Linked DNA regions of Mus musculus. The protein of the gene in region 6 purifies or fractionates together with the protein of the main gene of each other region. This does not show direct contact. Links are inferred from orthologs where the notes say so. Each region holds a gene or a part of one and is shown on either strand. Other genes may lie near its edges.

Region 1 (4,418 bases), on a different chromosome or scaffold from region 6:
TCTTCTGGAGGTCCTGAGTTCAAATCCCAGCAACCACATGGTGGCTTACAACCATCTGTAATGGCATATGATGCCCTCTATATGGTGTGTCTGAAGACAGCTACAGTGTACTTACATTTAATAAATAAATAAATCTTACAAAAAAAAAAAAGAGATCACACCTTGAGGAAGACATCTTTACTATGAATACTTCTGCCCCTCACCCCCTGAATATTCCTGTTTTGACCTAGAGGTCATGTCAGTATCCTGAGGATAAACTGGGGGGGGGGCGTGTGTCACAGGAACCCCTTCCTACTCTTTCCAATATGGCCACAGTGGACAAATCTCCCCGCCTTGCCTTTTGCCACCACTATCCCTTCAATGGGCGCCCCAGAACAGTGGCCAAGCCCAGCCCATTAGGCCTGCCAAATCAGGGCTTTCGCCCAGAAGCTTTGGTTACAAGCTGAAGACTGTAAGAATGTCCACTGTGGTGCACCGGGGCACCGAAACACACATCCCATGCTTTTACCTGAACACTTGCACATCCACCGATCTTTAATAATGATAGCTTTGTTTCTCAAATGTCGTTTATTAAAAAATACAATTCCAGAGAAAGTAGAAGATAAAGGAGTGTGGGAAGTGGGTACAGTACATAGACCTCTTTAAGTCAGACATAAAGGGTCAAAAGAAAATGAGCTGCAGGCAAAAAGCCAGCAGCTCGTCTATGGTCCAAACATCTGGAAGGTTCCATTGCTTTCCCGCTCTACTCTCCTGCCTTCATCAGGCTGCTTTATCCTTGGCATTTTAAAATTATGTTATCTGTGTGTATGTGTGTGCACATGTTGTGTAGTGCATATGAAGGACAAAAAAAAAAAAAAAACTAACTTGTAGGAGTTGGTTGCCTCCCGCCACCTTAAAGGTCTCAGTGATCAAACTTAAGTTGACCAGGCAAGTCCTGAGCCACCTCACTGGCCTGTCATTTTAAATTAAGGAGAAAATGGATGGGGCAGCTCATGTCTGTAATCTTAGCACCTGTGAGTTGGAAAGGCAAGTAGGTCAGGAGCTTAAGACTATCCTTATCTACATAGGAGTTTGAGGCCAACCTGGGCTATATGATACCCTCTCTCATAAAAAAAAAAAAAAAAAAAAATTAAAAACCAGAAGCAAAATAAACAACAACAAAACAAACACCTTTCTTGTTTCCATGTGGCTTCAATGGAGCTTTTCTCTCTCCAGAAATGGGGTCACAGAGAAACTATTTGCCTTGTCCTTGCTAACTCTTCATTTAAAAGTTAGTTCCCGTATAGAGGCAGAGGCAGGCAGAGTTCTATGAGTTCAAGGCCAGCCTGCTCTACATAGTGAGACACTGTCTTAAAAAAAAAAACATAAAAAGTTAAACAGAGTCCCTAGCTGTTACCTTTAAGACGAGACAACTCTTTGGAAACCCAAGAGAGAGAAGGGTGAGAAAGGAAGAACGCAAGGTGGACTGGAGACGAAGCTTGGTGGTGCGGTGCAGGGCTTGCCTGGCACTCAAAGGGTCCTGGGTTTGATCCCTAGCACCACATAAGGAAGCCAAATAAGCCAGGAGATGGTGGCGGCAAATGTCTTTAATCCCAACACTTGGGAGGCAGAGGCAGATGGACCTCTATGTTCCAAGGCAGCCAGGGCTACACAGAGAAACCCTGTCTTGAGGGAAGGAAGGAGGGAAGGAAGGAAGGAAGGAAGGAAGGAAGGAAGGAAGGAAGGAAGGAAGGAAGAAAGAAAGAAAGAAAGAAAGAAAGAAAGAAAGAAAGAAAGAAAGAAAGAAAGAAAGAAAGAAAGAAAGAGGTTGAAATAATCTTTTGTTTGTTTTCCAAAGAGGAAGCTGCTCCAATCCAGCCAGGAAAATATCCAGAAGAAACAACTGCATTGACCAGGGCTCACTCCAGCCCACTCTGCTATGGGTTGGGCATCTCTTTGTCTATGCCCTATACAGCTTTGTGACCCTACAGAATGAAGCTCTTTTTAAAGTGTGACAGAAACAGGGTTTGAAGAGAAAGTAGTAGACGGTCTCAGGGGACATTTCCCAGAAGCTGCAGCAAATGGCACGACGTGCCTGCCCTACAGGCGTGGCTAGAGCTGAGGGGTAGCAGCATTTTATCCCATCAAACAAGATGGGGCACAGAAGCACCCCAGTGCATTCTCCAGGACGGGGTGACCCATAGCGGGCCGAGAGAACACAGGGGTAGAGGGGACAGGAAGGCGCCTGAGCTGAGTCCAAGCAGAGGGGGAAGAGGAGAGGAAACACTTTGCCCTAAAGAGCACAGGTCCCTGAATCTAGGTCCTTGGCGGAACTCTACAATGGAAGGCCCTTCCTTACACATGTAGTTTTCACGATGCCCTCCTTTGGAGGCAAAATCAGATGGCCCAGAGTGGGCGTCAGTCCGGCTGTCAGTTAGTCCTCCCCACCCCTCCCCAGTATGCCCGAGAGAGGGAGGGCTTTATTGAGGACCCACCGGGGCCCTCCCCGATATTTCCTATAGCTAGAAAACAAACCCCCAAAAATCCTGGAGAAAAAGTCCAATAAGAACTCTCATCATACAAAAAACCAAACCAAACCAAACCAAAACAAAAAAAACAAAACCCAAAAACCAAATAGTCTTTCTCTTTTGCCTTCCCAGGCATGGCAGGCCCCTCTCACACAAAGCTTCCTGTCCCAGTTAGGACAACATTACTATTTCATTTTTTAAAAATAAAAATAAAATATCCACCCACCCTCCCTTTCTAAGTGCTACTTCATATAGCCCGCACTCCACATACCCCAAAGCAGGCATTGCTCCCTTGACACAAGGTAAACATAAAACTCTGCTGCAAGCCCACAGCTTCTGGGGGCAGGAGAGGGGGGCTGTTCAGCACAACCCACCCCAGTGCAGCCTGCGGAGGAAGGGGCAGTGGATAGCGCTTGACTCTTCCAGCCCCCTCACGGAGGTCAGGTCCACATGGACCGTGCGTGGGGAAGGCCACCGAGGGTTCTGCTCCTTCCTAGCAAAGGAGTTAGGTGGGGTAGAGGCTTCTCTTCCAGCTCTGGGCCGCAGCCGCAGGTCTGGGCCAGGAGTGGGTTCATTAGGTTCCATGACCTCGAGAACCCAGTCCAAACCAGCCGGTCTTCTCCTGGGCCAGGTCCAGCTCCCGAAGGCGGATGTGCACCTCCCCGAGAAGCAGATTCTCCCAAAATCCTTGCTCACTCAGCACACTCAACTGTAGCTCCCGCTGCTGCAGGTCTCCCTTGGGGATCCCATCATATACCAGCTGCAAGCATGGGCATTGGGAAGAGAGGCGAGCGTGAGACACAGGGAACTCAGAAAGAGATGCTCCAGTCCCTAGGGTAGCATGTAGCCCAGGCCGGCCTGGAACTCTCAGCAATCCTGCCCGTGCCTCTCAAATGCTGGGATTATATTTATTGGAGCTTCTGATCATTCTCCATACAGGGCAGCAGGCTCCCTCCTCCTCATATTATTAGGGCCCAAGTCCCATCTGGGGAATTGCAACTCTAAGGGTTTAAAAGCTGTCATCATAAAAGGAAAGGGGCAGGTATAAATACATGGGGACTGGATAAGCAGATAGGTGCTTAAGAGTGCTTGCTGTTGGGACTGGAGAGATGGCTCAGAGGTTAAGAGCACAGACTGCTTTTCCAGAGGTCCTGAGCTCACAACCATCTGTAATGGGATCAGATGCCCTCTTGTGGTGTGTCTGAAAACAGCTATGGTGTACTCACATAAACTAAATAGATAAATCTTTGAAAAAAAAATGCTTGCTGTCTCAAAATTCGAAACTGCCTGTAACTCCAGTGGATCAGATTCCCTCTTCTGGAAATCATGGGCACATTTATTAAAAAGAAAAAGCACAGTTCATATCACAATTGCCAAGGCCGTCACTGAGCAGAAGGTAGCAATGAGCAAGTGTGACTAACTTATAAGAAGGGACGGCTGGTTGCCAGGTGTCCTGCGGCACCCCTCTAGAACCCCAGCACGCAGGAGGAGCAGGAATTTGAGGCCAGCCTTGGCTACCCATGGAGCTTGAGTCTCGAAAACCCAAATAAATAAATAAATCATCCAAAAAGCGGCTTAAGACCCTGCCTACCCTTCACACCCCCATTTTCCACACACCATCTCATTGTAGGTAGGGTTGCAGGTTTTCCGGGCCACCTTGGTTTTCCTCTTTGTGGTTTTCTGAGGGTCAGGAAGGAGGTAAATCTTTACATAGGGGTCAGGGTCATTGCCATCCTGGAGCGGTTGCTACAATGGAACACAAACAGAAGTTGAAGGGTCCAGGCAGCATCTTCTACTTTCTAATGGTCCCTGAGGCTACCCTTTGGTCTAGATTATATCTTGCTCCCCCTCTGGCGTTTTGTGGCATGCACCTAATCTTTCTGTCTGATTCCCAGCTCATTACACTCTGAT
Region 2 (4,350 bases), on a different chromosome or scaffold from region 6:
CAAGCAATGTGAGGGGGCTCAGCTCCTTCCCTCAGGGACAGGATGAGGAAGTCTCCATGCAAATGTGAACAGACCACAGGCAGAGAGTTCACTATTGAGGGGACAAATGCAAATTTCCCAGAAGAGGAGGGGCAAAGAGAGGAGCCATTGGGTCATGGCTTCCACACACACTAAGGTTAGGGATGAGACAGCTTCTTCCCAAATGGCCATCCAAAGTGTCCCTTGGAGTCCTCCGCAGCCCTGTCAGAGGGTATCATCCACAGGGTGTCCTGTGCTTCCCCACTGCCCTGGCCTGTTCTCCTAACACCTGTTTAGCTCCCACCTCCTTCCTGATCACAGGGAACACTGCAGCCACCATTCAGCTGTACCTCCATGGTCTACTCTAGCAGGGCGCATCCTGGCTTGAGTCAGCAACAAAGAGAAAACAAGGGGCTCAAAGCGAATCTGAGAGAGAGGCCAAACCATCCTGAGGGCTGCAGGTAGGATAGGAGAGGAGAGACAACCTGGGGCAGGCCCTCCCTTCCCACTCACCAGCAGAAGAGGAAAGCCTTCTAGGGAGTGTCCTCCAGCTTCTTTGTTTGTTTGTTTGTGGTTTTCTTTGTGTTTTGAGGGTTTTTTTTGGTTGGTTGTTTGTTTGTTTGTTTGGGTTGGAGTTTTTTTGTTGTTTTGTTTGGGGGTTTTGGTTTTTCAAGACAAGGTTTCTCTGTGGAGCCCTGGCTGTACTGGAACTTACTTGATAGACCAGGCTGGCCTTGAACTTCCAGACATCCACCTTCCCCTGCCTCTTTTGAGTGCTGGGATAAAAGGCCTATGGTACCACCTCCACTCCGCTTGTTTTAGTTTAAGTCAAGGTCTCATGGAGCCCTATCCGGCCTCAAACTTGCTATGGAATGGAGGATAAACTTGACCTTCTTCTGGTCTTCCTGCCTCCACCTGGGCTCACAGGCACGTGTCACTCACACTAGGTTTATGCACGACAGGGAATAGAACCCAGTGTTTAATGCATGGCAGGCAAGCACTCACCACCTGAGCCACAGTCCCTAGACCTTCAGTCCTCAGTTTTAGTCAGTAACTTGTGAACAAAACTATTGAGCTAAGTTTGTAGGCACGAATCTCAAAACAGACTTTAAAACTGCGTGGAAGGTAGCTAGTGGCAAAGCGCTCACTCAACTCAGACAAGGCCCCGGGTTCAGGCCCCAGCAGAGAAGGGTGTGGGGATCAAGTTCGGAATCATTTCAACTGTAAATACACAGACACAGGACAGGAACAGGTACGCAGAGCCCCAGAGTCCATAAGAAAACCCTGAGTTAATAGGGGTTGCCAGTCAGTCCCTGTGCTATACAGCTAAGACGAGCCCCAGTGTAATGAATGAGGGACATTTATCTCCATAACCTTCCCTTTGCACATGCTCTGAGAAGACCACAAGAGAACAGCCAGCCCAGCTATGGGGGCCGTGTCTTTGCAGCACTAGTTGGGGATATCCTGAGGGTCTCCTTAAGTCAGATAAGCCTGGGCCCTTCTCTACCTGTGACCACCTCAGCGACCTTGCTTTCACCAAGCTCTGTCCAGCCCCACCTCAGTGTGATGCTGAGAGAAGTCCCTGAGTACCCCAGTACCAGTGGACCTCTAAGACCTTATTAAGACAGGGACCTAGAGCCCCAGGCTGTGTAGAGGGCTGGAAGAAGGCACCAGAGTTCCATGGTAGGACAAGCTTTCTAGTAATAGGGCCGACCTGATGAGAAACACCAGAGACAAGGAGTGGCCTCTCTGTTACTCTCAGGATGAGGTTGCTAGGCAGCAGGAACCCTGCAGGAAGGCAAGGGGAACCCTTCTCTGGCTTCCTCAGGGGACAGGGGATTGGTTAGATACATGGGAATCATCAGCCTACAGAGGGAAGAGGCTGAGAACACTGAGAGAACAGGTGTGGAAGATCAGGGATGAAGAACGGACTGGGAACAGAAGGACACCTGGTCTGGATGTCCACTTATCTCAAGGGACAGGGCCAACCTGCAATGCCCCTCACCTCTCACTGGTGGGGTCCGAGCAGTTCAGTGGGTACTTAAGGTGGATGATGGTGCCATCTCGGTCCTGCAGGATGCCCTGCTGCTGCGTGTAATACTCGACCAGCTCTGTCAGCGTCGCAAACTTCTCCCCTCCGTACAGGTCATAGAAGTCCCCTGAGTTCTGGATCCGAATATGAGTCACCTGATCATCCACCCTGCGAGGCACCACCAGGTAGTGAGATACATGAGCAGCAGCGGGGTGGGCTTGGGGGGACAGGGGTCTCGATGCAAAAGCACATAGGCATGGAGTAGACATAGACAGTTATGGGCACATGCTAGGGCGACAGGCAGGGACAGAAGGGAAGAAATGTATCATGAGGAGACAACACAACCCAGGGAACCCAGGAATGCTCCGGACCCACACAATGAGCTGCCAAGGTGCAGGGAGGGCCACCCACCTGACTGAGAGGGAGAAGTCACCCTGGTTCTTGCGGCTGGGCCGAGCCAGGAAGCTCCCAGGGACTCCCCGGCCCTTCAGCAGGGTCTCTGCATCAGGCCCGCTGAGGTCCCGGTGAAACCACCTAAAAGTGCACAGGGCAGTGAGGGAATATCCCCAGGGCTCCAGCCACCCTTGTTTCCTATCCTCCATGGGTCCCAGGCCCTTACCTCACCATCCTGGGGTTCTCACTGAATTGGCTGCAGAAAATGTGGAGGGAACAGTTTGTCTGGGCAGGCACGTACAAACTCTAGAGATGAGCCTCAGGCAAGGCTCTCAGAGCCCAGGCCTCCAAAGCCAACCTGCAGTCCTGCTCCCCGGGCTACCACTCTACTGGCCTGGGGCAGCCAGCAGGGCGGAGACAGGAAGGGGCGCGGCCGACCCCTTAGGGGAACTCACTAGAACTTCTCTTTTCAGAGCGAGGGAAGAGGAGCTGGAGGGTGGCAGGGTGGGGGAGGGCCCACTTCCCACAGTCTGCCAACAAAGGCACAGGGGCAAGGCAGTAAATATTCATGACTCAAGAGGTAAGGCACACGTGTGGCAGGTCAAGAGTCACGCACAGTGAATATCCACATTATCAGGTCAACCCTTCCTCCTCCAGCAGCTGCCTCTACTCAGAATTATTCTTAGGCACAGTCTAATAATGATCGTGTGCAGTGGCACCGTCATTTAATGGAGTGTCGCAGCCTGCCAGACTCATTGCTACAATGTCATTTTCATGCCTCCTGTGAGTTACAGGTCACCAGGGCCTCATTCCTCAGGCACTATCTTTATCCCCACTTCACAGACAAGGAAACTGAGGCCAAGAAGTTTGAGGAATTGCCCCCAGGTCTTACCCTTAGTGAGTTGCAGGATTCAGACCTAAATAGTTTCAAAGCCAATGACTTTTGAATTCTGCTTGCCAGCCCTCAGGACCCAAAGAACAGTAGTCAATAGACTCCTTGTCCAAAGGAGATGCTATCATCACAGCTGAGAGCCCCCACAAAGCAACCTTGTGCAGCTCTGTCATCATGGGCCTAGGCCTCCTTCCTATACCCTGACTGTCAGCAGGGAGGGGTGGGGTGGGAAGGTATCTCCTAAAGGTTAGGGTTTATGGCCAGGGTCCCAACAAGGGCAGACGCTCACAGGGAGGGCTTTAAACTTTAGGAGCGCTCAGCCTTCAGGCTTATGGGACCTTGTGTATGTAAACCCCAGGATGAATACAAAAAAAGATGCAAATACTACCAAGCCAAGACCAGAGGGGAAACAAGCTGCCCAATTTATATTGGTATCTTCCTTAGCAAGGGACACAGGCTGCTGGAGAAGGGAGATGGGACAGAGCACCTTATATCTTTTAAGGGTTTATTGTCTGAGGTGTTTTGATTGGTTAGTTTTGGTTTGTTTGTTTGTTTGTTTGTTTGTTTGTTTTATAATACTGAAATTAGAACCCCAGTCCTAGCTGGGCATGGTAACCCATGCCTTTAATCCCAACACTTGGGAGGCATAGGCAGGCAGCTCTCTGTGAGTTTGAGGCCAACTTGGTCTATACAGTGAGTTCCAGGATATCTAGCGCTATATAGTGAGACCTGTTTCAACAACAAGAACAACAAAACCAACCCAGACTCTCAGTCCCTTAAACAGTGTGAGGAGCATCCTTGGGCAGGCATCCTTGGGCAGTGTACATCTTCCACCCTATTTCTTTTCCTTATTCATTTGATTCCCTTCACACTTCTGCAGTCCTAGGGTTTGAACTTAGGACCTCAAACTCGCAAGGCAAAGGCTCAACCACAGAGTCACACCCCCTGTTAGTTCTCTTTTTACTTTTTTGGAGATAGGGTCTAGCTAAATTGCCCAGGCTAATCTGGAACTCAC
Region 3 (4,524 bases), on a different chromosome or scaffold from region 6:
CCCCTCTCCTGCCCTTCAGACCAGCAGCCCCACTGTGAGTCCCTGACTCTCTCCCCCCTCTTCTCCTGCCCTTCAGACCAGCAGCCCCAGCCTGGTCTACAAAGTTCCAGGACAGCCAGGGCTATACAGAGAAACCCTGTCTCAAAAAAAAAACAAAAAACAAAAAACAGACCAGCGGCCCCATTATGAGTCCCTTACTCTCTGCTTCCCTTCCCCACCCAGGGCTAGATGATACTTCCCAACCCAAGTTGCTAATGCTAGTTTGAGGGGAACCTGGCTCTGCCCACCTCCCCGGCCGTCTAAAACCTGCTGAGTGCAGTAGGAGCAAAGCTCTGGGGTGTCACCCACACAGCAAGCACACTGCCTCTCAAACTACACTCAGCAATCCCTCGATGCTTTTAACTACTCCCCAATTATCCACTAAATGACTCCCCACTTTCCTTCACCACGCGTTTGCCTCGGTTTGCCAAGCCTGAAATGTCTTCCTTCCTCATGGTGGTTTCCCTGCTTGCCCTGGACAGCAGTGGCCCCCTGAGCCTAGGAATTCCTTGAGTCCTTTGTCTGTGGCTAGTTTGGGACACAGCACAAGCTGTCTTTGTATCTTAGTCTACCACTCCACTCTTTAATGCCTTCAAATTTCCCCAGAACACAAGTCTCTTCAGGAGGCCAGCAGGCTCTCCCAGGGTAGCCCAATGCCTCACAGTACCTTTCTGGGGTTCCTGATATCTCCCCTTCACACTAGTCACTGGTTTGTCTCAGAGTGCCGGTGAGCAGGGGCCAGGTCTTACTCAATTCACACCCACCCCACCCCGCCCCCACACACACCACCTGGCAAAGTCCCTGGCAGAAGCCCGGTTAAATATTTGCTCAATTACACATCTATAGGCCCTTCCCCCCTACCCCCACCTATAACAACCTGGTATATAAATTGACTGATATTGAGTGATTGTCTACACGGGGCTTCAAGCAAATTGCCTCCTTAATAGAAAGGGAGGGAGGCCTCCAGGTGAAGTTATCAGCTTGGACTCTAGACAGTGGAGTCAGAAATGGCTACAATGTTTCTGTGAACAAGTTACCTTTTATTTATTTATTTATTTATTTATTTATTTATTTTTGCTGTTTCAAAAAGCTTTATTTTCACTTGGTCAAGGCTTAGGAGGGGCTCCGGGGCGGGTTACAGATCTGCCTAGTGGCTTGAGAGTTCTAGATGGAGGTCCTGAGATTGACTGGCTGGCATACAGCAGAGGAGGGAGTCCTTTGGGAGGCAGAAACCTCCTAAGTCGTGCTTGAGAGTGAGCCACTCTTAGAGATACTTGGGCCAGTCTGCGTTGGCTAAAAAATACGGAACTCAATGCATTTGCGTGTCATCCTTACGCAGAGGCCATGCTAATCTGTATCGTTCCAATTTTGGTATAGGTGCTGCTGTAGGAAGCACGCAAGTTACTTTGAAATCTTGCTAATCCAGAAAACCGCTCAGAGAACTGAGAACTCGATGGACCTCCCTGTAGCCCAGCCGAGGCAGCCTCCGGGTCTCCAAGACCTGGGACTTCCCAGGGACCTTTTCCCTAACACCGCTGGGTGGGGCCTTAGGCACCCGCCCGAGCCCACCCAGCCTTCAGTTTCACTACAGCCCGCAAGCAAGTCATAGAGGGTACTTGACTCAGTTTGCCTGGGAGAGATGGGGACCCGGAGGAGCGGGGTGCAGCTCCTGCCTTAGGCGTGGCTCCAGAACAGGATGAGGTGAAGACCCTAGTGCAAGGAAGTGGGGGATGTCTTCAAAACTCCGCCTCTCATCAAACATAAAAGATGCGGCTGCCCGGCCTGGTCTTAAAGTCAGGGCCAGCTCCCAGAGACTGGCCCGGGCGTGGCGTCCCAAGGTGCGGTGGAAATCAGGTGCACGCCTGCCCGGGCGACGGGGCAGCTGCCGGCAGACCCAGGCCTTCTGACCTCGGGCAATAGAAATCCAAGGTTGAATGAGGTCAGACGGGGGGGTTCTTTTCCTGCGCCCTGAGCCCCTCGGCAGCTGGGACCCCTTTTCCCACGCACTCTGAGTACCTCTCCCCGCCCCCTCCCGGCCCAAGGGCTGACGGACAAATGAGGAAGTCCGCAGCGGACGGCGGAAACCGTGCCGGGCGCAATGTCTGCGGCGGGACCGACCGATCCTGACTCAGGAGGACGCCCTGACAGCTGCCAAGCGGTCCTCGCCTGCCCGTTACCTCCCTTTGCCAAACTTACAAAGGAGCTGCTGCCCCGTGCCCACGAACGCATCCGGCCGGCTCGGCCGAGATCTCCGGGACTGCTGCGTCCCGGAAGGGGTTAAAAAGTTTGCCGGAGCTGGCCGTCGGGGAGGCGGGAGTGCAGAGGCGACAGGAGCAGGCCGAGCTCCCAGTGCCCCGACCGGGAAGGGCATCCTGTAGGGCCGGGGACTGCGTCCCCCGGTTCCCTAACCCCGAGGCCTCGCTGCCTATCACCCCTCGGGTGAGGATGCGGAGTCCGGTCGCACCCGACCGCGCTGAAACCCGCCACGCGGAGGCCGAGAACCACAGGGCCGTCCGCCCCAAAGGACTCGAGTCTTGTCGCCGCGCGCGCGCGCTCGGCAGCTCCGGGGCGGGACATACCGGCAAAGCTCGCTCACCTGAACCTGGGTCTGCCCGGGGAACAGGCGCTGGTTCTTCCGAGTGGACTTTCTCGAGCGCTCGGGCGGCGCGGCGGGGTGGGGCGAACGCGAGACTGGAAGCTGCAGCAGGTCAGGTTCTTGAGCCTTCCGTGCCCTGCCCAGGAACCGCGGTGATCTGCGCGCCTCACCGCACCCAGCTCTGGTGCGCGCCGCCCTCCCTGCCCCGCCCTTCCAAGAGGAGGGCGGGTCTACAGCTCGCCGCCGGCTCGTGGGTGGAGCTTCCAAGAGTCCCCGCCCTCTCCCCACACTGCCCAATCCAACAGGAGTCTGGCCTAAACTGACAGATTTTCGGCCTATAAACAGACAAGAGATGGAAGCCGGAGTGCTGAGATTCATCCTCCCCATCTGTCCCCACCTCCGCCCACCCCACCTTCCACCCGCGCTTCCTAGGCGGGAGCCACGCCTTGTTGGGCGGGTCCAATGGACAGCCAGGTTACAGGACCAGGATTGACGCGGATTTCATCCAATCAGAAGCAAGCGGCTCAGGCGCGCTGGGCTCCTGGTCCCGGCTCTGGTGTGCAGCTTGGGCCGCGCCGGGGCCGGAGGGAGCGTACTGGGGAGGTCTGAGGCTCTGACACTCCGCCCAGCGAACCGTGTTTTCCCTTCGTCCTGTCCTACCAGGAGAACAGATATTAAGTACCATATATGGGAAAAGTGGTATTTTACATAATTATGATGGCTGTGGGGGCGGTCATGGCTTCAACCCTGCATTCCGTGTGGGCGTCCTGAGTTCGATTTTGGAGCCTGCTCGCGGCTGTCCTCCAACCTCTGAACCTTTGCTCTGGCTAGTACCTCTGCCTGGAATGCAGTCTAAGCCACTCTTAACCTTTGAATAATTAACTCACACACATCTCAGATATTTGTCACTAAATTATTTTAAGGGTAGATTTCATTTGTTTTATTTTGGTTACTAACCACGAGAGGATTTTTTTTTTCATTTAAAAAAATGTACTTTGCCATTAATCTATCAGGAATTTGTCCACGCATTATTTTCTGCCCAAATTGTCCGTTTCCGAGTTGTGTCCATTGATCTATGTGGTCGATCCTGCAGCACGTCAATGCTTTCAAATGGCTTTATGAAGGCAAATTTCTCGTCATTGCTCTTAACTGTTGGAATGTTCTTGCTAACACAGTTAAAATGATCCTTCCATATAAACTTCAGGGAAAACTTACATTCTGAAGCCAAAAAGCAGCTAAAGAAAGAAAGAGATTTTGCAGCCCAGATGACCAGTGATTGCTACCCACATTACAGCAAAGACTGCTTCCCAGTTGATAAGAAAAATTTAAAAAATTTTTAAAAGGCTGAACCATCCAGGGGTTGTGGGTGGTATACCAGAACTCAAGAGGTCTGAGGTAGGAGGGGGAGTTCAAGACTAGCCTGAACTACACAGACAAGCAGTTCAAAGGTGTGAAATATATAAAGCCAATAATTACTTTTAAAACTAATCATCAAGAGACTGGAGATGTACGGGCAGTGGTGGCCCATGCCTTTAACCCCAGCACTCGGGAGGCAGAGGCAGGCAGATTTCTGAGTTCGGTCTGCAGAGTGAGTTCCAGGACAGCTAGAGCTACACAGAGAAACCCTGTCTCGGAAAAAAAAAAAAAAAAAAAAAAGCCCAGCATTGTTAGAGCCGGTGAGGAGGTGGAGCTCATCAGGTGCTGACAGGAATACGCATGCGCTTCTCCAACCACTTTGGGAAAGTGGCTCCACTAGGCCTGTAGCACACACCTGTGATTTCAGCGCTGCAGAGGGAGGCGCAGGAGGAGCTACTCTTGGCTACATAATGAGTTTAGGGCCAGTCCCCGCTAAGCACGCCTGTCCTTGGCTCTATTTACTAAAGCTTGAT
Region 4 (4,511 bases), on a different chromosome or scaffold from region 6:
TTTTGGTTTTGATTTTGATTGTTTTTTGTTTGTATGTGTGTGCGTGTGTGCGTGTGTGCGCGTGTGTGTGTGTGTGTGTGCGTGTGTGCGTGTGTGTGTGTGTCACTGAACTTCTGGAGGTCAGAAAACAATTTGCAGGGTCAATTCTCTCACCACGTGGATTCTGAGGGTTGAACTACAGTTTTTAGGCTTGGCACAAGCTCCTTTACCCACTAAGCCATCTTGCCTGCCCTTTAATAGATGTTTAAACTTTAGCACTGATATCTATTATATCTGTCAAGCATAGAAGGCAGGGAAAGTTGAGGCTACCTGGTGAAAACCCTGTCTGTTCTTCAGTGCTAATTGCATTTGATGTGGCGGCTCTCTCTCTCTCTCTCTCTCTCTCTCTCTCTCTCTCTCTCTCTGGCTCTATTATCCCTTTTGTGTGTGTGTTGGAATGACTGCAAAATCTCAACCTGTACTCTACGGTTGCTGAACAATAATCGCCTAAAAAGAGCGTTGCCAGGCTGGGCCAGCTGGCTGTCTCCCATTCCTGAAACTGAATGTTCTTAGACACACGCGCTCTCCTCCGCCCCTTCTGCTGCCTGCTGACTCAGTGTAGCACCAAGTCACACTCCCAAGTGCCTGAAACCGAGGCTCCTGGAAGGACTAAAAAGGGGTATACAGCAGCTCTACCAAGGCAGCCTGACATCTCTGCGCAGATTTGGGCACCAACAATTGGATGTGGGCGGTGCACTTCCAGTTTGAAGTGTACAGACCCAGGTCCCTGTCCTCGGCACACTCAGCTAACCCCTGTCTCTTTGCATTTCTCATCTGTGGAAAGGCACAATAGTTACAGGAACCACAGGGCTTGAGTTAATGCATATGGAAGCATCTACAGTGCCTGGCCATTTCCTGCTACTTCCCCACTGGTTTTCTCTCCCCTGTCCTTCTCCCTGTTTTCCTGATTTGGTTTTGCTTTAAAATGCATCTCTAAAGTACATTAGCTGGCAGACTTCAGCAGCCTGTGCCCTGCCATGCCCAGTGCCCTTCAGCATCAAATATCCACTTACGTTGTTATTGAAGTAAAAAAAAAAAAAAAAAAAAAAAGCCCCAAGTGATGTGCACAAGTCTAAAGCACACAACTTCCTGAGTTTCTATGTATGGGGAGCATGTCTAGACCTAAAGTGCCTTGAAGGTCTGCCCAGGCCAGTAGGAAGCCCAAAGGCAGTCCACTTCTGACCTCTACCACTACTTTACAGTTTAGAGAGGACAGCTTTTAGGAGAAGGCTGGGACTGGACAGGTAGTTTATCAGTGGAAACTCTGATCTTGTAGAACACTAGGACTCATTCCCAGCACCCACATAGTGGTTCAGGGACATTACATCCTTAACTCTAGTCCAGAGGATCCAGTGCCCTCTTCTGACCTCTAGGGGTTTCCTGGCACAGAGTCGTGCATAGACATACATGCCCGAAAAATACTTACATAGAAAGTAAAAGGAGTGAACATTAAAAACAAGGCTAGAGTGTCTGATGATTATAATACTAACTGGCAGCAAGAAACCCTCTCCTGGCCCTCTCTGAGGTGACGAAGGCAAAGACAGTGAGGCACACAAGCTTTTAAAGTCACACAAGTCTGCCCAACAAATGCTCTCACTTACATCCAAGGACCCCAGGCACAGAAGAGGAATACCACTGTCCCACTGGAAACTTTCCTCAGAGAGTCCCCAGACTGTGTGTGTGTCAGAGATACTTCTGGTTTTTCCTGAGGCCATTAGACAGGCTTCCTGGGTTTCTGGGCAGAACATCTACCCAACTCAGGTTCTCACACTCATGGCAGACACTCCAAGCACACAGAAGACATTGTTTCCACAGGGGAATGGATGCCTGGCATCCTACAGGAGAGCGTGTTCTTCTCCCAAGCTTGCTCCCCGTGAGCTCCTGGCTAGGTATCCGGGGGAATGGCCACAATTACCCAGTCCCGCACACCTCCAAAGGACTTTAAAGGCCATTTGTGGCCAGATGTAAATGGCTAGAGATAATGGATAGACAGACACATACACTCTCTGGCTCCTGACCTAGGCAGGCTTACAGATAAGCCTCGGGGAGTCAGGACTCAGCTCCTGGCCCGACTCTGTCACCAGGAACTGTGTGACCTTGGATAAGTCACTTTTTCCCTCAGGAATTGGCTTTCTTTCTGGGAAATGGTCCAGTATCCTCAGTCCTTGTCTGATTGTGCAGGTTCCCAGATCTCTCCTAATCGCCAGGGACCCTTCCTTAACATCCCCAACACAAGCAAGATCCGCCCTTTTGTTCTCAGGGGAGGGGTGGGGGGTGACGTGGGGGAAGGGAAGCAGAGCCCCCTTGGGGCATCAGACTAAGAGGCCTCCGTGCCAGAAGCTGATAACGGAAGAGTGCTGTCCTGGGAGGTCACCAGGGAGCCCTGAGGTGACCTGGTGTAGCCATGGTCCCTTTCCGACCCGTGGCGGGCAGGGAGCGAGTGGTTGCCGCTAGGGCTGCACGGAGCAGCTCCCAGACGTAGTCGCGGCTGGGGACTACAGTTTGGAGAGGGTCCTGGGCACTCTCACTCACCCAGCGTCTTTGACAACGCGGGAGGCCACTCTACCTCGGGACTGTCCCCAATACCCTCCGCGACAACCCCAATCGGCCACTTACTTAACCCAGGGCCCGGACGCGAGCAGAGCAGCTACCTGCAGCTGGCCGTAACCCGGCCGACTGGACTTTAGCTGGCGCCTCCGTCCCCGCTGTCCCCGTCGTCTCCGTCGTCCCCGTCGTCTCCGTCGTCCCCGTCGCCTCGAGGATCCCGGCTGGGCTGCAGACAGTGCCTGGCGTTGCTTCTGCGCGCCCGGCTAAGCTGGACTCTGCGCTCCTCGCTCGCTCCCAGCCGGGCTTAAGCGCTGCCGGGACGCGGAGGCGGAGCCGCCGCCCCCACCTGCTCCTGGCGGCCGCCCTGGAGCCTCGCCGCCCAGCGCACGGGGACGCGGTCCAGAGGGCGGGGTCGCTCTGGCACCCAGGAGGCGGTCCTGGCTGCGCGGCGGCGCAGCTCCCAGGTACAGAGTCCCGAGTGTGAGCCACGGGGACAATGGGGCCAAGGGCTGGAGTTCCCCTGCACGCCACCTCGTCTATATATTACAAACATTTCTGAGCCCTCGCTAAGCCCCAGACAGCGCGTATATGCAAGGGGACAAAAGGAGAATGGGACAGCCGGTTGTCCCGATGAGCACAAGCAGGTACTTACAATACGGAGCCAAGAGAACATCCAACGTGTACAAAGCAGAGGGACACCCAATTCAGACCTGGGCTTGAGAGGCAGGGGTGGGTGTGTGGGTGGAGAGAGCTGGGGGGCGGGAGGGGGAGGTAGAGAAGCTTGCTCTCAGAGATAGGTGAGCACAAAATATCCTGGTAACACAGGGAGGTAAGTAGCTTCCGGTGGGGCAGAAGTGGGAAGAAGGCAGTTTGAAATCTAGAGTGAAGCGAGTCTGTCCCATTTCCCTGTCCGGCTGTCCAGAGCTTGGAGAATGCTGGAGATTTATGCCTGAGGCTCCTGTGTACACTCAGCTGCTCCAAGTGCAGCAATTCAGGCTGGCATTTCCTGCCTCTCACATCTTAGGCATACTTGTGTTCTGGTTCGAAAAGGAAGGAAAGCTCAATTTGCAGAGAAGAATTATTTCCATGGCCATGTAGAAATCCCACCAGGTCTTCTACGGAGCCCCAAAGCACAAACTAGTTGCATGGCCAGTCATTTATCTTACAAGCTGGGCGGTTTCTGGAGGATATACTAATTCAGCTTTTTAAATGCTTGATTCAAAGTGATGGTGTCTGCAGAGTGGGGCTATTTGGGGCTGAAAACATCATGAAGTTGTTGTGTTCAAGAACCCAGTGTCTCATGGCACAAGTGGTCCTTCTTGCATCCTTTTTCTCTGGACATTGCAACAGGATTCAGTCTCTGGGAGCCACGTTCCAAATACCTAAGCCGCTCTCCCCATCGTCTCTATGGACAGAATCCAGAGTGATGACCAGTTAAAGACTAAAGACTATAGTGCCAGTGCCTTTCCTGATCACCGAGACTTTCTTAGCACACTAGCTGAGTTCAATTCCCAGTACTACCAAAAGAAAACAAAGCAAAGCCCCTCAAACAACAACAACAACAACCATAATAAACCTTATCAAAGTTAATATAGTAGGAATAGATGAGATAGCTTGGCTAGTAAAGGCACTTGTTACCTGGCGACCTCCATTGGATTGATAAATTGGAAGTGGGAGTTGTGTGTATCTGTGTGTCTGTCTGTCTGTCTGTCTGTCTGTCTGCCTCTGCCCTTCCATTCCCTATTCTCTTTATGCTTCAGTATCTAGTGATGCTACACCTAGATTTTAACCAAGAAACAACTAATGTGTTACCACCACTATCTACAACAGAGTAGAAGATGGAGACAGTGTGGTGTTGCTAAGCACCTGAGACAAAGCCAGCAGCTATCCAACTCTGGTCTATTTATTAGATGGAAAAAAAAAAT
Region 5 (4,366 bases), on a different chromosome or scaffold from region 6:
TCTTGCAGAGAATTTTAACAAGGTGTTTAAAATTCTTTGGAGACAGCATTAAGACAATCTTGCTGGGGAGAGATTTTCCAATTTACACACAGAAACAAAATACATAAATTCTGATCGTGGCCTGGTGATTATCATAATTTGGGGAAATAACCGAACTTGTGACGTGAAAATACAACCCCAAGGCTGTAGGAACTCTCTCTGAGAATGGCACAAACCAACACCTTTTCTGGCTCTCATCAACACGGGAAGTGGCTTGGACACCCCCCAAACATCATCCTACCCCCACAGGAAGTGAGTTACAGTTCCCCCTCCCCTATGACAGCATGTCTCCCTTCCCCCAACCGGAAGTGAGGCGCCCCCATTCAGTGGGCCTTAAACCAAGACAAACCAATAACAGCAGCAGCAAAAGAAGGATGATCTTCAAAGGGGGAAGGACATCTCGACTGTTGCCACCCCCATGCTCGTCTTGCTTACTAACCTGCTGACGGCAGGAGCAGGCAGGGGCCTGGGGACTAATGAAAGTCCCTTGCACAGAGGACAATTCCCTCAGCCCCTCGCAATCGCCTTCACTCTTCACTCCGTCGTCTCACAGCTTGACAGAAATTCCTCCGCAGTACTTTATTTTGGTGTCTTTTCTTACTCTTTACCTAATCACTTAGTCACCTCCAGATAGGTAACTTCTTTTAACGTGGTAATACTGAGAATTGTTCCGTTGAGGAGAGACGTGAAATGTTATACCCGATACTTTCAGAGAAATGAAGGGATTATTTTGCCCAATGCGGCGAAGGACTACGTGACCACGCAAGGTGAGACACACTTTCGCGAAGGTTCTTGGGAAATGTAGTTTTCATTTTCATTGCTAAGGCTCTCAAAAAATAGTGGGACTTAAATTTTAATTACTGTATACTGGACTCTTAGAGGATAGTTATTCTGTACTAGACGAATGGCTGACTTAAGGTGATTCGGCCCCGAAAAAAATCCAAATCTGCGCTGTTTCTTTCCACTGGCGTTTAATTGAACCCAAATTCCCCGTCACATGGACTCAAGGTCCCTGCCGCCCCGCCCCCTGGCTTTGGCTCCACCCCTCAGCCAATCAGACTTTCTCTAGCTCGTGTTCTCCGGATATTGGCACTCAGGGAGGCGTGGCCTCTTGTCAACTCCTCCCATGGGGCTGAGAGTAGAGCTCGGAGACCGCCGAGGTTTGGTGCGGGCACGCGCGGGCGAGCGCGCGCGGTCTGAAGAAGTGAAGCGGCAAGGGTGCGCGCGGCGGGGCGGCGTGCAGGGTTGGGAGGAGCGAGCGGACTGGTGGGCTGGGCGGACGGAGAGCGGCCGGGAGCGCGCTGTGGACTCCGCGGCCGCGAGTAGTTAGTTAGTTGTGTCAGTTGCTCGGTGGAGGCGGCCGCGATCACCAGAAAGGGGACGGGACAGGAGGCAATGCTGAATATCGCAACGGCTTGTGCTCCCCTCAGGTAACGGGGGCAGGGTTGCCCACGTACCCTCCGGTCCCTTTCCCACACGCGCTGGCTTATGGGGCCAGGGTCGCCGAGAGGTGAGGACGCGGACCTAGGGGGGATCGGGACTGGGTGGCGCCGCAGGGGCTCGGCAGCCCGTGCGTCCTGCGGGGCGCGGGCTGCAGTGCCCCGGCCACCCACGCGCCCCGCGGGCGCCGCGAGCCCTCTCATGCCCCCCACCGGCCCAGGCCTCGTTACCCTGGCTGCGATGGTCCCGGGAGCGCGGCGCCCCCCAGAGGAGGGAAAGTTGGAACCTGGCGGCTAGGGACTTCCCGGGGCTGGGCTGCGAGGCTCCAGGGGAAAGTGAAGCCTTAGAGGAGCTGGAGATGTGGAGGCTGGGGCAAGAAGGGCTTCTGCCTAGTCTGTATGGTCGCCTCACTCCCAGACTTTGGAGGATCAGGCTCAGCCTTGCCTCAGCAGTCAGGACGGAACCGGTGGCTCTGTGCCTGCTCACTTTACGCTCTGGCCAGGGAGCCCCTAATGTGCGCAGGCTTCCTAGGTTGCTTAGGGGTTTGGGATTTTGAGAGGCTGGGTTAGACATTTGTTTTTCTTTGCCCTTTGGCTTATGGGTTCTTGCCAATTTCCTTTCCTCCTTCGAAGAGGACTACCCATCTGAATTGGGTCCCCTTCTCGTTATCCCCCATCTTATGCTCCATTTGTTGGAGAGCTTGATTTTGTTCTTGGACTTCATTAAGGACTGCTGAGAGCAATATCAAAGAGTAGTCCGCCCTCCAGTCCCCCTCCCCCAGGCCCCATGTCTGCAGTCCAGTTTTTAAGGACCCAAATTGAGGAACCAGAGCTGTGGAATGGAGTTATTGGATGGCTGGTGTTGAAGGATAGAGATGAGTTAGAGGAAAACTATGATTTCATCTTTATTGGCCTTACTATAGAAAACCCAGTACATTTTTCTTTGCCTCTGTTGAATGTGGTAAGAGTACACTCTCAATTAAATACTTGGTGACTTACATAAAAGACTATTTTTAAGCCACTGGATGATGTGCATGAACTGCTTTTTCACCTGAGTCGGAATTGCTTTGAGTATTCTGTTTGGTGGCCTATCTGTTGACTTGATCTTTTTCTTTCTTTCTCTTTCTTTTCTTTCTTTCTCTTTTTTTTTTTCAGCCACACTGTCCTCCCTTTATCTACCTTGGCAAATTAAGTATGTAGTCAAGAGAACACATATTGCTCTCTGCAAAGAGGAAAAAAAAAAAAAAACCCAGAAAGCCCAAACTTGAATTATCCACAAGGGTAAAACTTTCCATGAGCAATCTTGGATACTCACTTCATGATGGCTTCTTTTGTAATCTCAGAGCATTTTAGATCTTTCAATTCACTGACTACCCTAATTACTTTCCAAAGTGCCTGGCACTTTCTTTGGTGACTTTTTCAGTAAACTATAATTGCAGGTGAGGTACATTTTCTTGGCTTCCAAGTTAGGAGTTAATAGCCTTATCACAGAGATTAACAGTTAACAATGGAAGCAGAGTTCATACTACTGCAAGTGAGTTTTGGCAACGATCAGGTCACAAACTATGTGAAAAAACAAAGATCCCCTCCCCAGAGTTGTCAGAGGGGAAGAAGAGAAAATATTTTATCGTGTCTCTATTTGGGAGAGAGTAGTATGACTATGTTATGTGGGGGAAAATGGCAAATTATTTTCTTTAAAGCTTTTTGATTTGTGGTCCTCCTTTCTCCCACCCTTTCTTTAGGGACTGACATTTATGTTTGGCTAGTTTCCAGTGTTGTAAGGCGTGTTTTGGTGAGAGGAAAAGATAAGCTTGATTGAGTTGTTAGGGTATTGCTTATTCATTTTGTTTAGTAATAGTGCAGAAAACTTACACAGTGGTGTTTAAACCCCATTAACATTCTGTCAGAATTTATTTTTAAGAGTCTGTCCTGAGGCCCATAAAGAAATAATGCCACTTCATAACTGTTTTCTGACAGTCACATTAAAAAGTACGTTCCTGAAATGCATTATATGTGAATGCATATAAACATTTATCTTTGTACATTTATGGTAATGTAAATATTTAAGTCGGAGAGCTTAAAAACTTTTATTTGCTTATTTGCATACATGCCTTTTAACAGCCAGCAGTGCCAACCATATTTGCCAAAGAAGTATCAGCCATAAATTCAGGCTTTGGCACATTTCATATAATAACTCTTCTAAATTGCTCCATGGTGAAGCATCATGAGATTAGCATTTGCTTCAGGAGAGAGATTTGTTGTTGTTTTTAACCGTAATGATGTGCTATTTAAGGGGAACAGGTGCTGGGCTCTAGCTGTTTGTGTTGTAACCTGCCAAATCCTACTCTTTTGTTGGATGGGTTGTTAAAGCAATTTAGGAACCACATTGTGGCCCCTGGCTTGCCAAGTGTGAGTTTGAGGCTCCATATCACTTTTGCTAATCCCCATTTTTTTTTTTTCTTTCAGTGTAAGAGGCAAGTGTGGATGTGAACTTTATTTTCTCATTTGTCTTTTACTGTGATTCCTATGCCCCAGTCTAGAACTTCTGATACAGGCTGCCTCCCTGCTAGCTGGGTTTTCCTTGGAGAATTCAAATATTGTTGTAACTTTCAGGCCAAGTTCACATTTGTCTGACAAAAGACAAGTATTTGAGTGTCTTCTAAAGTGTTAGGCCTGGTGCTAGGACCTGAATATGTGTAGAATGATGCAGTTTTTGTCAGCAGCTTATACCTTAGGAGGAGAGCTAGCTGGTAACCGGTGGTTATAATACGGTGTGATATAGGACAGGTGTGTGCGCAGGTGCCTGTGAAGGAGAGCACAGGAAGGCTCGTTGACTCAGACTTGGATTCTTGACTGTGGGGGAAGTTCTGGAATCTTAGTGAGTTATT
Region 6 (3,267 bases):
GAGCCATCTCTCCAGCCCCTCTTAACAGGTTTGAACACACTCTCAGCATTCCCTCACTCGGGCTGTAAACGAGGCAGTCCTAACCAGAACTCCTGCTCATACGTGAGGAGGACTGAGTGCATCCCTCACAGGCTGGCTGCACAGGGACTCAACCACCTGAGTGCCAACTGCAGAGCCTCACTGCCATGAGGTCGGCCTGAGCACACAGGAAGTCGCTGTGGTGTCACGCCTGGGCCTTCACACTTGCTGGAAGTGAGTAAAGCTCTTTGCTTACCTGTGGCATCTGTTCTATGTCCCGTAAGAATATCTGCTGGTTCCTGGACACGGATGTTGATCTGTGGTAATCTACCAGCTCATTCAAAGAATTAAACTTCACCACCCACAGGAAATACTTCCCGGCTCCGTCGCGGAGCACCTTGAAGTGCTGCACATCATTTCCAAACCTGAGGATGGGGAGAAAAACCATGAAGCGGCCACAGGGCTCTGCAGGGCTGCCTCAAACCTGAAGGTGTCCAGGGAACTTCTCTGTCAGGCATAGCTTTTCAGAGCTTGGGGTCACAAGAGCTTCATAGCACCCTGAGTATCCAGCTGGAGAGAATGCAGACCGTCCCAGGAGCCTCCCCTAAGCCCCTCCTGATTGCTGATGACTAGTTACAGGAGTAACACAGTGGAAGCCCACCCACTAGGCTAACCCTCAGATGTCTATGATCTACTAACACAGCCCACTTGTGAGGCTACAGCTTTATCTGCCTTAACAGTTCAAAAAGTGGGGTGATAGTCAAACACTAGCTCAGGTTGGCTTTGAGCTCACTAACTGTGTAAGCTGGTCTAGAACTCATGGTGATCTGGTGATCCCTGCATTAGCCTCCCATTGCTGAGGTTACAGGTATGCCAAAGCTATGCTTTTCACTGAGAAATTTTCTTTTCTTTTCTCCTTTCTTCCTTCCTTCCTTTCTTTCTTTTTGTTTTTTTCGAGACAGGGTTTCTCTGTGTAGCCCTGGCTGAACTCACTCTGTAGACCAGGTTGGCCTTGAACTCAGAAATCTGCCTGTCTCTGCCTCCCGAGTGCTGGGATTAAAGGCGTGCACCACCAACGCCCCGGCTACCGAGGAATTTTCTTACTGTTTTTCTTTCTGATTCCTGTTCACTGCCAAGCCTTTGAATCTCTTCCAGTAGTCTCTTAAAGTGGTTCTAAAGACAAACCAGCAGATGGCAGCACTGGACTTCCAGTGCTTCTAAACCCCAGGGCAAGTTTGAAACCAGATACCAAACTCCAGATGCACTGTTTTCCCCTATAGACACATATAGTCTGATAAAGTTATTTTTCACTGAAACAATTTCAACAATATGCCATCATAAAAGTTATCTAAAATCCAGGAGTTACTTCTGGAACTTCCAGCTGGCTTGTGGTGACTGAAACGGAGGAAAGCAAAACCAAGCACCCAGCGACTTCATTGCGGTTCCCTGAGCAGCAAGGGAGGTGCTTTTGAGAGGACTGTGGCTCAGGCTCCAAAGGCCCAAGAGCCTTCTGGGATGCACCTGCTTCCCAAGTGCAGGGTCACTTCTACCACATCTTCCCACCAGACTCCCAAGATCTCGAAACTGTGTGCTATCTTAGAGTCTGGTGCTGATGGAAGCCCTTGTGAAGATGCTTCGCTAAAGGCAGGCAGTAGTTCATGTTTTCCTTGTGTACGTGTCATGTCCATGGGGTGTGAAAGCACATGTATGTGCACATGTGTGGAAACCAATGTCAACACTGGCTGTCTGAAGTGCCTCTCACTGACCCCGGAGCTCCATGGTAAGGCTGGGCTAGCTGGCTACAGCTCCACACGATCTCCCTCTCTAGCATCTGCCCTTGGACCCTAACTCAGATCCTCTTGTTTCGTGGTAGTTACCAACCGAGCCAGCTACCTCTTATATTTTATTCCTAAAGTGATGACGTATTAACATCTTTAAATGTTTAACTTTAAGAGGACACTTCTCTAGATATGCGTGTGTGTGATGGGCAGGGGTCAGGGGAACTCCTGTGGAAATCAGTTCTCTCCTTCCACTATGTGGGTCCTAGGAATCAAACATAGGTCACCTGGCTGGACGACAAGCACCTTTACCCACTGAGCTGTGTTATTAGCCTGGGTCTCATGTAGCCCAGGCTGACCCAGAACTTATAACCCTACCTGATGCCCTAGGTCTCCATTCCTAGATGGTTTTCTTTGATGGAAGGAATAGCTGGCCTTCCTGCTGTCTTCACTACATCACGGCCCAGTCCTGCCCAAGGGTCCAGCCCCTACCTACTGACTTGTCTCCCTCCCTGAGCTGTTTTACTGCTACTTGGAGTAGTTCAGGCAAAGGAAGGAAAGCAGATGGCTTTGTTGACAGGACCCTGATATAGCTGTCTCTTGTGAGGCTATGCCAGTGCCTGGCAAATACAGAAGTGGAGGCTCACAGTCATCACAGGGCCCCCAATGGAGGAGCTAGAGAAAGTACCTAAGGAGCTAAAGGGGTCTGCAACTCTATAGGAGGAACAACAGTATGAACTAACCAGTACCCCCCAGAGCTTGTGTCTTGTGTCTGCATGTAGCAGAGGATGGCCTAGTTGGCTATCAATGGGAGGAGAGGCCCTTGGTCTTGAGATGATTATATGCTGCAGGATAGGGGAATGACAGGGCCAGGAAGTGGGAGTGGGTGGATTGGGGAGCAGGGAAGCGGGAGGGTATAGGGGACTTTCGGAGAGGAAACTAGGAAAGCAGATAGCATTTGAAATGTAAATGAAGGAAATATTTTAAAAAAAATTTTATAAAAAGAGATGAATTTTGGGGTGGGCTTCTGTAGTAACCCATTAACTAGGAAAGGATGATCGGTCAGACAGGGCAAAGCCATTCTTTTTTTTAGTCAGCATCTCACTGTGTGACTCTGGCTGGCCTGGAACTCACAGAGATCCACCCGTCTTTGTCTCTCAATTGATGGGATTAAAGGCATGTAATATCATGCGCAATTCCTAGTTGGATTTTTGAGAAAATGCCCCTCTAGGCTCCTGGGAAGCATGAGTTGGGTCCAGGTGAACACCAGGAGTGGAGATGCGCACGTGGTCACCGTAAGTGCAGCAGAAACTGCAGTGAAGGCAGGGCGGGTGAGGAGTGGGGCTAAGCCGCCTCGAGTGCTGCCAGCTCCCCCAGGTTCATGACACTTCAAACCTAAAACCTCAGATCTGCTACAACTAGGCCTTAGAGCAAACACTAGGATTTCCACAGGAAAAGATGTGTTAACATC
Region 7 (4,460 bases), on a different chromosome or scaffold from region 6:
ATAAACACTGAGCTAGACACAGCAAGCAGCAAGTACAAAGACGGTCAGGTTCGTCTAAAGGGAAGGAGGAAGCAAGACGCTCACTGTCTGGGAGAAGATACTGAACAGAGGAAGTAGCAAGAACAAAGACTCCAAAGGAGGAGATGCTTATTGTTGTTTAAGGAAAGCCTGCAGGCCAGTGTGGTAAGAGCAAAAGGGAGAGGGAGAGTGGTGGGTGAGATTAGGGGTCAGGGTGAGGGGCTGGGGCTTACTAGAACCAAGAACTGTTTTCCTAGACAGCAATGGTGGCAACAGGTGGAGGATGGGGGAGGGAGGTGATCCTCAGGAATTAGAACACACCAAACAGAAGGGCACACGAGTGTCTAAAGGCTGCGTGGGACTCAGAGGCTGGCCTAGCCCTCAAGTACACGTGATAACGTGAGCTTGATTGAGAAAGGTGGGAGGCCCAGGTGGGGTGGGAAGCTTTCAGCCTCTGATGTCTGTTGAGCTGTGGAAGTGAGCAGCAGGACCAGGAAGCAGCTGGGTAAGAAGAAGCAGGCAAGCAGGCAGGCAGGCAGGCAGGCAGGCAGGCAGACAGCTGTCCTTTTAATGTAAACATTGCTTTCCTAAGGAAGGATGCAGTCCTTCCAGAGAGCTGCTCTGAAAAGAAAACCGTGGAGGTCTTAGCAAGATCCTTGTGTGGGGGAAATACTCCCTTTAAATTTTCTGTACCAGGGGAAAAAGGGGGTAGGGTGGGGCAAAAGCTAGAATTTAGAGTATTGTATAATTACTATGAACGGAACTGAACTGGTCTAACTTTCAGTGAATCATAAGACAAAGATGATTTAAAATGGGACCAAGAAAGCAAACAGGAGTTTCTGTTTTTTAAAGAGCAAGCATTTCCTAAAATGGGTAATGAGCAAATAGAGACGTTTGTGCTAGCTACCATTAACTTTCCATAAGGAAGGGGATTCCATTCTAACTGTGCACTTTGCATCAAAGGTAACCGAGGCCAGAGTCAGGACCTTGCTCACTGCTGCTGCACTGCTCGGTTGCTAGAACAGTGTCTGCTTGGGCCCAAATGCCTCGTTTTCAGGGGTAAAAAGCCTACCCAGAGTTCTTACCTCAGAATCCATCACCCCAAGGTACTACTCTCAGCAAAAAATTACTCAAAAACAAGCAGAGAAAAGAGATGTTTTCCTTGCATTATACCTGTGCAAGTCAACATACCTCAGTGGGGTCAAGCAATTACTCATGAAACACAGCCATCAGGGCTCTATGCAGATTGCTGTTTGGAACATACTGATACATACATAGGTCAAAATATCAAGCTGTTGCAAAAGGAAAATAAGCTTTTATTTGGGGGGGGGGGTGTTAGAGACAGGGTTTCTCTGTGCAGCTCTGGCTGTCCTGGCACTCACTCTGTAGACCAGGCTGGCCTTGAACTCAGAAATCCACCAGCCTCTGCCTCCTGAGTGCTGGGATTAAAGGCGTGCACCACCAACACCCAGGTCAAAAATAAGCTTTTTCTTAATCCCCATAAGGAACTGCACTAACTCTGCCCCTTTGGGACAAAGAACAAAAGCCATGAGGGAATATTGGACAGTGTTTTCCTCTGAACCCTTCAAAAACTTAGCAGACTTAAGAAATCGGTTTGCTTTGCTATGGCATGTTTTTTGTTGTTGTGTAACGGCAGATTACAAATTTATTATTATTTGTCTTAATATAAGAGACCAGTAAAAAGGGTAGCAGTAATTATCCACTCATGATTATGGAATGCTATAAATCCCATAGAGAGGAATTAGTTTAGTAGGAAAACCCCATAAGTTATATTCATTATTATCAACCAGATACAAAATGCCTAAACTTCTGCCAGGTGACAAAGGTCTTCCTCTAAATATGTTTAAATTTCATTACACTTTGTTTATTTCCTGGGAGTGTGTGAGTGTGTATGTGTGGGGGATCCGTGCTTCCACCAAGAGAATCCGGGGACCGTTCTGGGGTCCTAAGTAAGGTTTGGCTCTAAGGGCCTTTAACACCCTGAGCCACCTCACCGGTCCCCAAAGACATCTTCCTACAGGCTGTCATGTTTACACACAAATCCTTTTACTCCAGAACCAGATTACTTACAGTTGACAATTTAGAGTCCGGTTCCACAGAGATTTTTTTCAAGGCAAGTTCACCCAAACCAGTACAGGACGCAAAGGTCTAGATTTACAATACTCTTTCCTATCTACCGCCTTCCGCGAAGCATTTTCCCCCCACATCAACACCAAACCATCCTCCGGAATAACTTCAATACCATAAATACGCCTTAAAACCACAAAAAAAGCTCAGCCGTGGTCTGGAAGGTGCGGTTAAGTCTGCCGGTCGCTAGCCTTAGAACCGATGGGGAACCCAGGGTGCTCGGAACGGTGCGGCGGGCTCCGGGCCGCTTCCTGGCCGGACGCTGTGGTCCGGCGCATCCCGGGGGTGCCCCACGTTCGCAGGCCGGGCCGGGGCCTCACCTTGTACACGTCCCCGTAGGTGCCGCTGCCGACCCTCTGCACCAGCTCGTAGTCGTGCTGCGGGTTCCGTCTCAGGATGTCGGCGGCAGGCCTCAGCGGGGCCTCCATCTTCGCTGCGCCCAGTCCGGGGCTCTGCCCGCCGCAGCCGTCTCCCGCTAACGAGGGCGCGCGGCGCTTCCCAACATGGAGCCTCGGCTCGCAGCTGCGCCTGCACCGGCGAGAGCGAGCGCGGGGGGCGTCACGGGGCGCAACCCCGGCAGCCTCCGGGCCTCGTCGGTCCCGCCAGGCCCCGCGCCGGCCGTACCCGAGAGGCCGTCCGTTCTTGGCCGAGCGCCGGCGTCGGAGACCCGCGTCTTCTCCGAGACGGCCGTGCGCACAGTCGCCGCCGCACCACGTTCCCCACCCGCGGCTGCGTCACCGGGAGACACGTTCGCGGCCGGCGCGGATCGAGCCTGGCCCGCCCGAGAACGCAGGCCGCGGGCCCAGACTGCCGCCCTGAGGCCCGCCGAGTGCACAACACCCTGGACGCCGCCGCGCCCCGCCTCCCAGCTGCTTGCGGGGCGCCGGAGGCGTTCGTGCGGCGTCTGACCCGCCCAGCCTCGGCCAGGATTCGCCCAGTGGCCGGCGGACTAGAGGAGGAGGGTCTGTCCGCAGGCCTCCGGAGCGCTGCCTTCTGCTTCCTTTCGGTACAGGTAAACTGAGGCCGCCCGGGCAGGAGGTGGGGGAGTGCCGGGTTAACTAAATGCCGGCACACCCGACTGCACCGTCCTGTTCCACACACTGTTCCCGGTGGTACCAGTTCCGAGGCTGGACCGCACACCTGCAGAACCTGTCTTCCACCAGGGTTTCCCAGAGCCATTTTTGAAAACCCCAATTCCTTTCGAAGTTTCTGTGGTCTCTGGGCATCACCGCAATATTGCAAGTGTTAATGGGAGGAGTTTTAGAGATGCTAAAGCAAAGCTAGGGACCTTTGTCTGATTCTGCTTCCAAAGTAGGTGATCTGGGACAAGGCATACGTGGCAACATCCCAGTGTCCTTATCTGTAGCTGGAAGAGGATAGGTTTTGCATTTGACACCCGAGAAATGTTTGTAAACCATTTTTACAGCATTGTAAAGAGGAGTGTAAAATGTAAGAGGCTTTAAAATGTAAGAGGCCTAACTAACAATGCCCAAAATATTGGGCAGGAGTTATGAGAAGTGATTTGGTTAATGTTTCAATCTCTTTTGTAATTTGAGTTCCAGTCTTGTTCTTAAGGTAGAAATGAAGTTGCCAATTTTATGTATACTGGTAAAGTTACTTCTAGAGTCTTACAGAGATTTTCAGTTGGAAAACCAGATAAGGACTGGAAAGATGGCCCAATTGTTAGCAGCACCGGCTGCAGCTCAGAGGTTGATTCCCAGCACCTGCGTGGCGGCCCACTCCTCATTAACTCCAACTTGGGATCCAGAGTGGGCTGGGAGGGAGGGCCAACGCCCTCTTCTGGCCTGTGTAGGCACCACATATGCATATGGTGCACAGCTGTACATGCAGGCAAAACACAAAATTAAATAAAAATGTAAGAAAATTGAAAAAACTAGAAAAAAAAACGACAACAGAACAAATTTCAGATGACACGTGACTCCAGACACACTCTAATTCTGTTTTGAGAAATAACTTCTTATAGCTAATAAATGAAGAAATTAAATTAACACCTTAACGGAACAGAGACTGTATGCATTTTCTCGTGATCCACACACAAAGAGCACTTATTTAGGGAACATAAGTAAGCCCAGACTTACATGCCCCAGGGACAAAGCCTGTGTGTGTGCTGCACTGAAAAAAAAAATGGTTGAAGAACAGTTCCTTCTTTGAAATCTTCTTGGCACTTGTTTTGGTGGGCACATATTTTTGGCTTCGATGACTCAAAATCTCTTCAAGTGTTCTATTGGTATCTTAGTACTTGTTTACTGTCATGGATTTATGGTGGTCATGTA

The links.
Region 1: the proteins of Grb2 (region 6) and Pik3c2b purify together in Homo sapiens (affinity purification with mass spectrometry; 5 studies listed by BioGRID and IntAct, counting the BioPlex papers as one, with this or other methods). This does not show direct contact. The link is inferred for Mus musculus from reciprocal best matches to the Homo sapiens genes GRB2 and PIK3C2B.
Region 2: the proteins of Grb2 (region 6) and Ptpn6 purify together in Homo sapiens (affinity purification with western blotting; 4 studies listed by BioGRID and IntAct, with this or other methods). This does not show direct contact. The link is inferred for Mus musculus from reciprocal best matches to the Homo sapiens genes GRB2 and PTPN6.
Region 3: the proteins of Grb2 (region 6) and Myh9 purify together in Homo sapiens (affinity purification with mass spectrometry; 3 studies listed by BioGRID and IntAct, with this or other methods). This does not show direct contact. The link is inferred for Mus musculus from reciprocal best matches to the Homo sapiens genes GRB2 and MYH9.
Region 4: the proteins of Grb2 (region 6) and Wipf3 purify together in Homo sapiens (affinity purification with mass spectrometry; 3 studies listed by BioGRID and IntAct, counting the BioPlex papers as one, with this or other methods). This does not show direct contact. The link is inferred for Mus musculus from reciprocal best matches to the Homo sapiens genes GRB2 and WIPF3.
Region 5: the proteins of Grb2 (region 6) and Peak1 purify together in Homo sapiens (co-immunoprecipitation; 3 studies listed by BioGRID and IntAct, counting the BioPlex papers as one, with this or other methods). This does not show direct contact. The link is inferred for Mus musculus from reciprocal best matches to the Homo sapiens genes GRB2 and PEAK1.
Region 7: the proteins of Grb2 (region 6) and Map4k5 purify together in Homo sapiens (affinity purification with mass spectrometry; 7 studies listed by BioGRID and IntAct, counting the BioPlex papers as one, with this or other methods). This does not show direct contact. The link is inferred for Mus musculus from reciprocal best matches to the Homo sapiens genes GRB2 and MAP4K5.

What each region holds. Positions count from the first base shown.
Region 1 is NC_000067.6:133,104,822-133,109,239, reverse strand, and holds the end of Pik3c2b (phosphatidylinositol 4-phosphate 3-kinase C2 domain-containing subunit beta), read right to left. Parts: intron 4,254-4,418; coding exon 4,125-4,253; intron 3,268-4,124; coding exon 3,082-3,267; 3' UTR 552-3,081; downstream 1-551. UniProt on the Homo sapiens protein: Phosphorylates PtdIns and PtdIns4P with a preference for PtdIns. Does not phosphorylate PtdIns(4,5)P2. May be involved in EGF and PDGF signaling cascades.
Region 2 is NC_000072.6:124,730,277-124,734,626, forward strand, and holds the start of Ptpn6 (tyrosine-protein phosphatase non-receptor type 6), read right to left. Parts: upstream 2,879-4,350; 5' UTR 2,678-2,878; coding exon 2,670-2,677; intron 2,585-2,669; coding exon 2,462-2,584; intron 2,219-2,461; coding exon 2,024-2,218; intron 1-2,023. UniProt on the Homo sapiens protein: Tyrosine phosphatase enzyme that plays important roles in controlling immune signaling pathways and fundamental physiological processes such as hematopoiesis.
Region 3 is NC_000081.6:77,839,322-77,843,845, forward strand, and holds the start of Myh9 (myosin-9), read right to left. Parts: upstream 2,855-4,524; 5' UTR 2,636-2,854; intron 1,436-2,635; exon of another isoform or gene 1,336-1,435; intron 1-1,335. UniProt on the Homo sapiens protein: Cellular myosin that appears to play a role in cytokinesis, cell shape, and specialized functions such as secretion and capping. Required for cortical actin clearance prior to oocyte exocytosis. Promotes cell motility in conjunction with S100A4.
Region 4 is NC_000072.6:54,428,040-54,432,550, reverse strand, and holds the start of Wipf3 (WAS/WASL-interacting protein family member 3), read right to left. Parts: upstream 2,866-4,511; 5' UTR 2,691-2,865; exon of another isoform or gene 2,330-2,690; intron 1-2,329. UniProt on the Homo sapiens protein: May be a regulator of cytoskeletal organization. May have a role in spermatogenesis.
Region 5 is NC_000075.6:56,415,044-56,419,409, reverse strand, and holds the start of Peak1 (inactive tyrosine-protein kinase PEAK1), read left to right. Parts: upstream 1-1,359; 5' UTR 1,360-1,469; exon of another isoform or gene 1,470-1,549; intron 1,550-4,366. UniProt on the Homo sapiens protein: Probable catalytically inactive kinase. Scaffolding protein that regulates the cytoskeleton to control cell spreading and migration by modulating focal adhesion dynamics. Acts as a scaffold for mediating EGFR signaling.
Region 6 is NC_000077.6:115,646,436-115,649,702, forward strand, and holds part of Grb2 (growth factor receptor-bound protein 2), read right to left. Parts: intron 444-3,267; coding exon 275-443; intron 1-274. UniProt on the Homo sapiens protein: Non-enzymatic adapter protein that plays a pivotal role in precisely regulated signaling cascades from cell surface receptors to cellular responses, including signaling transduction and gene expression.
Region 7 is NC_000078.6:69,890,167-69,894,626, forward strand, and holds the start of Map4k5 (mitogen-activated protein kinase kinase kinase kinase 5), read right to left. Parts: upstream 2,998-4,460; 5' UTR 2,595-2,997; coding exon 2,487-2,594; intron 1-2,486. UniProt on the Homo sapiens protein: May play a role in the response to environmental stress. Appears to act upstream of the JUN N-terminal pathway.